2 linked regions of the Oryctolagus cuniculus genome follow. The protein of the gene in region 2 purifies or fractionates together with the protein of the main gene of each other region. This does not show direct contact. Links are inferred from orthologs where the notes say so. Each region holds a gene or a part of one and is shown on either strand. Other genes may lie near its edges.

What was found.
Region 1: the proteins of POLR2D (region 2) and POLR2M purify together in Homo sapiens (affinity purification with mass spectrometry; 3 studies listed by BioGRID and IntAct, counting the BioPlex papers as one, with this or other methods). This does not show direct contact. The link is inferred for Oryctolagus cuniculus from reciprocal best matches to the Homo sapiens genes POLR2D and POLR2M.

What each region holds. Positions count from the first base shown.
Region 1 is NC_091443.1:80,571,574-80,575,933, reverse strand, and holds the start of POLR2M (protein GRINL1A), read right to left. Parts: upstream 2,822-4,360; 5' UTR 2,616-2,821; coding exon 2,503-2,615; intron 574-2,502; coding exon 1-573.
Region 2 is NC_091434.1:121,258,919-121,262,727, reverse strand, and holds part of POLR2D (DNA-directed RNA polymerase II subunit RPB4), read right to left. Parts: intron 3,651-3,809; coding exon 3,470-3,650; intron 83-3,469; coding exon 1-82. UniProt on the Homo sapiens protein: Core component of RNA polymerase II (Pol II), a DNA-dependent RNA polymerase which synthesizes mRNA precursors and many functional non-coding RNAs using the four ribonucleoside triphosphates as substrates.

The sequences.
Region 1 (4,360 bases), on a different chromosome or scaffold from region 2:
CCGCTCCCAAAGCCCGTCACGTTCTCAGTCAAGTTCTCAGTCCTCGTGTATCCTTCTGAGGGATGTTCACTCTGGTCTGCAATTGTGATCCTTTGCAACTTATCAATAAACAGGTTGTCAAGGCTGCTGGAAACGTCCTCCACTTGACTTGAAACACTATGCTGAGGGAGATGCTCTCTGGCTTCAGCCGAGGAAAGCACGCTGGCACTGCTGTTGCTGGAAGCTGGGCACTTGTTCGCTGGGTCCTCAGCCTCTGGAGTCTCTTCCTCACCTTTGTGAGGAGGATGTACAAGTCCCTGTTTATGTGAGGTTGTCTGAGATGACTTGACGTTATCTACAGAGGAACAGCCAGGAACTAGTGATGACGTAGCAAGTATCTGGTCAGAATTCTGGGCCTTATGTATGTCCACATCAACTGCATCTGCTTTTTGCCTTAGCGTACAGTCTAAACTAACAGGATGAAAGAGTTCACTTTTCCCTCTAACCTCTTCACGTCCTGCAATGGCAGCTTTCAGTTTGGCAACGGTGTCTATGACCTTTTTACCTTTGTCGGGCAATTTGCAAATGAATTTTCTGTCAAATGGAAAAGAACAGGTATACATTAGGGCCATGGCTTTAAACTTGAGGCGTAACACTTAACAGACAAAGCACCATCCTCCAAGGGAGCAAACTGATTTTTAAGTTAATGTCTGATTTTTACCAGCTCCCAAACAGGAATGAAACAATACAACAATTTTCCAAATACATTTAGAAAACAAGTGGATAGAAGAACAGAGAATATAGGCCTCATCTGTCTCTTCTATTTAGAATCTTGGCAAAAGGACTTGAAGAATACAGGCTGAACACTTCTAATCTGAAAATTTTTTTAGCACTAACATGATGTTCTAAGTGGAAAATCCATGCCTGACCTTATGTGACAATTGTAGTCAAAATGCAGGTACAATAAAAACCTGTCTAAAAGTCAAGCTATGAGCATATGCAACATAAATGAACTGTGTTTAGACTTGGGTCTCATCCCTAAATATCCCATTATGAATATACAAATATTAAAGACAATTTAAAAAAAAAAAAAAAACAAAATCTGAGACATTTCTGGTCTTAAGCATTTCAGATAGGGGAGACTTAACCTGTGTGATTATCATACAAGATATCCCCCAAATTCATAGTTTTTAAAATGTAATCTCCAAAACCTGCTGGGGGAATGGGCCTGCAGAGTCAGAATTATTCCAACAACACTACTAAAGCGTTATTTACCACCTCCCTCTCAAGTTCTCACAGGGGTAGGGTGAACTTTTCCAGAAGCCACATGATGTGTGACACCATCCTGGCTCTGAAGTGGAATGTGTGCTCATGTGTTCACGAAAAACAAGAGCTCTTTGGCATGCCCAGCTCTTAAATAAGAGTATAAGGAGATCTTCACACCCAAATGTTAATTCACTGCCATTCTCACAATGTCACAGCAACACCTGTCTACTACAAAGACCCTCAAGTGACTGCTTTTTTGGAAGTGACATAAGTTTCTTTTCTAATTTCCTTTTCTTCGGCCATACAATACATAAGGGGCGAGGTTACATCTGAGACCCTCTAGTAGTTTTTTTTCCTCTGACATTACATTCATGCTTTCAGTTTCAACTACCTATGAACAACTCAGTGCATTCAAGATTCCCCAATTTCCCCAACCCCCTCCACCTCCCCTTCCCTCTCTCCTGCTCTCCTCTCAACTCCATGCACTCGAAGTACAAATCAACCTTGCCTCTACTCCCTCCCCTCACTTTTTCTATTTCTCTTGGTGGCTCTCCTCACACATGGGAAACTTCAGCCATCTTAATCCCTGCCTGACAAAGTTTTGCCAATCCCACGGCCGGCCGCCGTCCCAGTTCACTTTCCTGCGACCTCCTTGCAGGAAACCTCTCTAAAAGTATCCTCCTGGGGTCTTCCGCCTCTTAGTCCGTCAAGCCATCCTGCTCCGAGCTGCTGAACACGAAACTGCCCTTCAAACACCCCTTTTGTCATTTCGCGCCCCTGCTAACCATCCGGGTCGTCTGCCAGCTGAATGGGAGTCAAGTTCTCGGCCTGAGAAACCGTTCTTTACATCTCACTCTTCTCATTCCTCACCGGTTCCCGTAAGGAAAGGATCGAGAGAGAAAACTGGCAACAGATTTTCGGCGCCAGGCCCGGGGCGGGAGAACAGGGTTATCTGGGACACAAGCTTTCCCTTCAAAGCCGACATGGGAACTGAGTAAACAAAACCAACGAGGGGCTGGCGGACCAGCTTAGCTCCACGCTAAGCAGCCGCTGGGGACACGAGCCACCCCCACGAGCTGCAGCAGCAGCGGCCGGAACGTGGCGTGGCTTTGCGGCTGCAGGCCGCGGGACCGAAACGAATCGCACTGAGGCAAGGTCACCTTCCAGTGGAGGGAGCGGGGCGGTGGAAGGCAGGGGGCGTCCCCGGGAGCCCCAACCCTAGGAGTCGGGCTGTGCCTCGGAGGGACCCCAGCTTACTCGTTGCGCAAAAGTCTCTCCTGGCGCTTCAACATCTCCCGCAGCTCCACCAAACTCCGCTGCCCCAAGTCCTCGGGAACTTGGGGCTCGAAGCCGCGGGGCAGCAAGGACATTCTGCGGGGGCTGAGGCTGGCGAGGCGGCGGGCACTCGGCGTCCTCAGCAGGCCCCGCCGCTGGCGCAGGATCCGCGGCTGGCGGCGACTCCGGGGCACGAGCGGGAGTCGCCATTTTCCCGGAAGAACAAGTCTTCTTCGAGGCGAATCGAGCTTTATTGAAACGCCGGAAACGAACACGGACCAGGAGAAGGGGGCGCCCGGGGGAGCGCGAAGGGGCGGAAGTTCTGGGGGATGACGTCAGCGCCTGGGTTTGGCGGGATTTCGCTGTGTGTGCAGGTTGGGACGTTCCGCAGCCATTCACCTGTGTATTCAGAAGCGGTAGGAGTTAGGATAAGGCACATTCATGTACACACACACTCACTCTCTCTCTCTTTCTCTCCCAAAGATCCACAACAGAGGTGATGAGGATGCTATCTATACAAATTTTGAAAACCTTTCATAATTCCCAGTTTTGCCTATAGGAAAACAGAGGCACAAAAATGGGAGCAAATATTCCCAGGGCACAAATTAAGTGACAGCTCTAAGTTCGAAACTCAATTCCCTTTTCCAGCACCCCAATTTGAAGACACCTCTCTTCCCTTTAGACTTATTTACGAACATATAAAATGGTTGCAAAGTTTTGTTTCTGGCTGTTGAGGAGGCAGTGTGGTAGGCATCAGAGTCAGCTTCTACCCGCTCTATAGCTGAGCTACCAGAGCTACATCCCGAAGGAAAGAATGGGGAGCTTGTAGACTCGCAGCAGACACCCGGACCTGACGGGTTTGGATTACCCCACACTTTCCAAACACCCTCCCCTCACTCTTTGATACAGGCAGTTGATGTTTTCTCAGTCCAATATAAGATACTATAGAAACGCAAGCAACTTGCAGCCAGTCAGAAGCTCCAGATAAAATCCAGAGCTATTTCAAGGAGTTCAAATGTAGCTAGCTATTTCTGTCCTCCACCCCATCCCCATCTAGTCCATTGTGATCAGAGTAACTAACATAAACACACATTCTCAATATAAACCTTGCTTTCGGGGCTTCAATAACTTACTCAAGTCCTAGCTGAGTAAGAAATACTTATGTAAAGACCTAGAGTCAGGGGGCCAGCGCTGTGGCATAGCGGGTTAAGCCGCCACCTACGGTGCCGGCATCCCATATGGGCACTGGTTCAAGTCCCGGCTTCTCCACTTCCAACCCAGCTCTCTGCTATGGCCTGGGAAAGCAGTGGAAGATGGCCCAAGTCCTTGTGCCCTTGCACCCACGTGGGAGACCTGGAAGAAGCTCCTGCTCCCCCTGGGCCTCAGTGGGAGAACTCCCCCCCCCCCCCAGTAGTGAAATGGCTGTCTCTTGTTCCTGAGCCACAAATGTCCTCAAGGCAAAGATGCCTTTCTTTTAAGTCTCAGAATTGTGTCCCCTTCTGTTTTCCTCTTGTGGAAAGTCATCCCTTCTTCCCAAAATGAATTACAATTTTTTTGGTTCAAGTCACCTCATCTCAAAGCCTTCCCAGATTATTCCGTTTTGAACACAACTGTAGTGATTATTTAGAGTTAGAACCCCACTACATGCAATGTATTTTGCTAATTATGCATGGTGATTTCTTTCTCCTTTATAATAAAATCATAACATTCTTTGTCAGGGAGCTATGTTTATACTTTCCTGTCTCCCTTAAGTCACCTAGCAGGTACTAGTTGACAAAAAGTTTTCTCATAATTTTTCTCTCCACTTTTCTCCCATATTACTCTTTCTCTTAATGAAACA
Region 2 (3,809 bases):
CTTTGACTCCTCGGCAGTCTCTGGACAAAGGTTGGCTAAACAGGCCAACTCAAACTTATGAAGCTTCTTCTGGAGCAGCAAGCTGGTCATAGAGAGGAAAATCCAAACAAAACAACCCAATCAAAGAATGATCAACAAGAAAAACTGTGGGGAGCAAAGAGAAAACGTGAAGCATCTGCAACCTTCTCTTTACGGTTATGTGGGCTGCAGAATTCTACTTTCAAATTACTTCCTGTTTCTGCCTCTAAAGAACAGGAAGCTGCAGTGAACTTAGGCAGAGATGAAAGAGAGGAGACACACCAGGTAGAGGAGCACCTGCCACAACCTGTGAAAAACTACTTCATACCTCAGACGATACCACTTTTTGCCCAGAAATTTATTTTCTTGTTACTATTCTTTCTACTATACCTCTTTGACTCTTATATTACTAATTTTTAAAAAATTATTTATCGGGAGGGGCCAGCGTTGTGACACGGTGGGTTAAGCCACCACTTGTGACACAGGCATCTCATAAGGAGTACTGGGTTAAGTCCTAGGTGCTCTGTTTCTGATCTAGCTTCCTGCTAACATGCCTGGGAAGGCAGTGGAAGATGGTACAAATACTCAGGTCCCTGTAACTCAGGTAGGAGACCAGGGTTCCTGGCTCCTGGCGTTAAGCTTGGCCCAGACTTGTCTATTGTTGGCATTTGAGAGGTGAACCAGTGAATGGAAAATTTCTGTCTCTTCCTCTCTGCCCTTTTAATAAATCAATCTCAAAAAAATTTTTTTGAAGAAATTAACTTATTTGAGAGCCAGACAAAGAGAGGCATTGAACTCCTGTCCAGTGGTACACTCCTCACATGCAACAGCCAGAAGGAAGGTGGGAGCTGGGAACTCAGTGGTGACATGGTAACAGAAATCAACTACTAGGGCCATGACCTGCTGCTCTGCAGAGGGCACACTAGCAGGAAGCTGGAATTAAAAGTGGGACTGGGGGCTGGTGCTGTGGCACAGAGTGCGAGGTTGCTGCCTACAGTGCCAGTATCCTATATGGATGCCAGTTGGGAGTCCTGGCTGCTCCACTTTGGATCTAGCTTAGCTCACTGCTATGGCCTGGGAATGTGGTGGAAGATGGCCCGGTCCTTGGGTTTCTGCACCTGCATGGGAGACCTGGAGGAGGCTCCTGGCTCCTGATCAACCCAGCTCTGGCCATTGCGACCATTTGAAGAGTGAACCAGCAGATGGAAGACCTCTCTCTCTGCCTCTATGTAACTCTGCCTTTCAAATAAATGAATAAATCTTAAAAAAAAAAAAAAAAAAAAAGTGGGACTGAACTCCAATATGGAAGGCAAGTATCCCAACTAACGTCTTAACTGATAGGTCAAACGCCCACCCCTCTTAATTTTACATTAAGCACATAATGTTAGCTGTTCCCGATTTAATAGGTATTTTGACAGGGAGGAAATTCTCTTTAAAATTTATCTAAATAGGAATACAGACTACCCTATTTTGTGCATACTGGTGTATGAAACATATCTTAATTAAACATACAGAGGCCGGTGCTGTGGTATAGCAGGAAAAGCCACCACCTGCAGTGCCAGCATCCCATATAGGCACTGATTCTAGTTCCAGCTGCTCCACTTCTGATTCAGCTCTCTGCTATGGCCTGGGAGAGTAGTGGAAGATGGCCCAAGTCCCTGGGCCCCTGCACCCCCATGGGAGACCCAGGAAGAGACTCCTGGCTCCTGGCTTCAGATTGGACCAGCTCTGGCCATTGCAGCCATCTGGGGAGTGAACCAGTGGATGGAAGACCTCTCTCTCTCTCTCTCTCTCTCTCTGCCTCTGTCTCTCTGTAACTCTGCCTTTCAAATAAGTAAATAAATAAATCAGTAAACATACAAGTCCTGTTTGGAACACTGTCAGCACAAATACTGTCTTGAATGTTCATCACTCTACCTCTTTTCTCTTTTTTTTTTCTTTTAAAAACTTATTTATTTGAAAGGCAGAGTTACTGAGAGACAGATCTTCCATCTGCTGGTTCACTCCCCAAATGGTCATAACACTGGAGCTGGGCAGATCCAAACCCAGGAGCCAGGAACTTCTTCCAGGAACTTCCCACGTGGGTGCAAGGACCCAAGAAATAAGGCCATCCTCCACTGCTTTCTCAAGAGCATTAGCAGAGAGCAGGACCGAAGTGGAGCACCTGGGACTCCAACTGGTGCCCATATGGGATGCAGGTGTCCCAAGCGGCAGCTTTACCCGCTGTGCCACAGCAGTTGCCCCACCTCTGCCTCTTAAAATAGAGCTCATCTGTGGTAAATTTAGTTTCAGAAATGATCTTCAGCTTTCTGATAAGAAAAAAACCAGGGTGGAGGAGGCATTTGGCCTAGCTGTTTTTCCTATAGCCTCCTTTAAGCCCAAGCACCTCACTGTGTCTCCCAGAAAGAATGTTCTGGATCTACATTTATTACCATGCAAAGATCTCTATGATGTTTTAGGCACAAAATAAGTAAATCTGCTTAATTAAAAATCTTTAAATTCTATCAAACTGTGATTTAGGTATAAAAGATGGTGGCTCAAGATAATTTTGGCCTTATAAACAATTAAAATTTTTTGACAATGATGTTACTTTACTTATATTAAATTCACACGGGGGTTGGAGTCATGGCATAGCAGCACAAGCCACCACGTGCAATGCCCAGCATCCCATACAGATGCTGCTCTGAGTCCTGGCTGCTCCATTTCTCACTCAGCTCTCTGCTTATGTGCCTGGGAAGGCAGCGGAAGAAGGCCCAAGTGTTTGGGCGCCAGTACCCATATGGGAGACCCAGATAAAGTTCCTAGCTCCTGGCTTCAATCTTGCCCATTCCTGGCCGTTGCAGCCATTTGGGGAGTAAACCAGCAGATGGAAGACCTCTCTCTCTCTCTCTCTCTCAACCAGCAGATGGAAGACCTCTCTCTCTCTCTCTCCCTCCCTCCCTCCCTCCCTCCCTCTCTGTAACTCCACCTTTCTAGTTACAAAATAAATCTTATTTGAAAGGTGGAGTTACAGAGAGGGAGAGGCAAAGGCAGAGAGAAAGAGAGAGAATCTTCCATCCTCTGGTCCACTCCCCAAATGGCTACAACATCCTGAACTGGGCCAATTGGAAGCCAGGAGCCAGCAGCTTCTTCTGGGTCTCCCACATGGGTGCAGGAGCCCAAGCATTTGGGCCATCTTCCACTGCCTTCCCAGGCACATTAGCAGAGAGCTGGATGGGAAGTGAAGCAGCTGGAACTGAAACCGGCACCAGTATTGATGTTAGCACTGCAGGTGGAGGCTTTACCTGCTACAGCACAGCACCGGCCCCTAAATAAATCAATCTTAAAAAAAAAAAAAAAAAAAAAAAAAACAAAAACCTTCACAGATGATGTTGGGAAAAGCAAGAGTGAACAATGTTACACATGTAGATGTCCAACAAGTTGGACTAACAGACTTTCTTTTAGCACTCACCTGCGGACACTGGCAATGGTCTCTCTGTTTTTGAAACGACTGAAACGGGCTGTGTAGGTCAAAGTCTTCATGAAGACCTCCGAGAGTTCCTGTTCATCCTCTGCACTCTCGTTCTGCTGCTTGCGATGCTCCAGAAGCATATGCACCTCGGAATTTAGAAGTGTCTCAGCTGTTTCAAACTCTGTCAGAGGCACAAATGTAAGCTGAGAAGAATCCTTCAGGGGCAAGCGTTTGGCACAGCACTTAAGAAGCCACTTGGGACACCCACATCCCTTATCTGAGTGCCTATGTTCAAACCCAGGCTCCGCTCCTAATTCCAGCTTCCTACTAATGCACACCC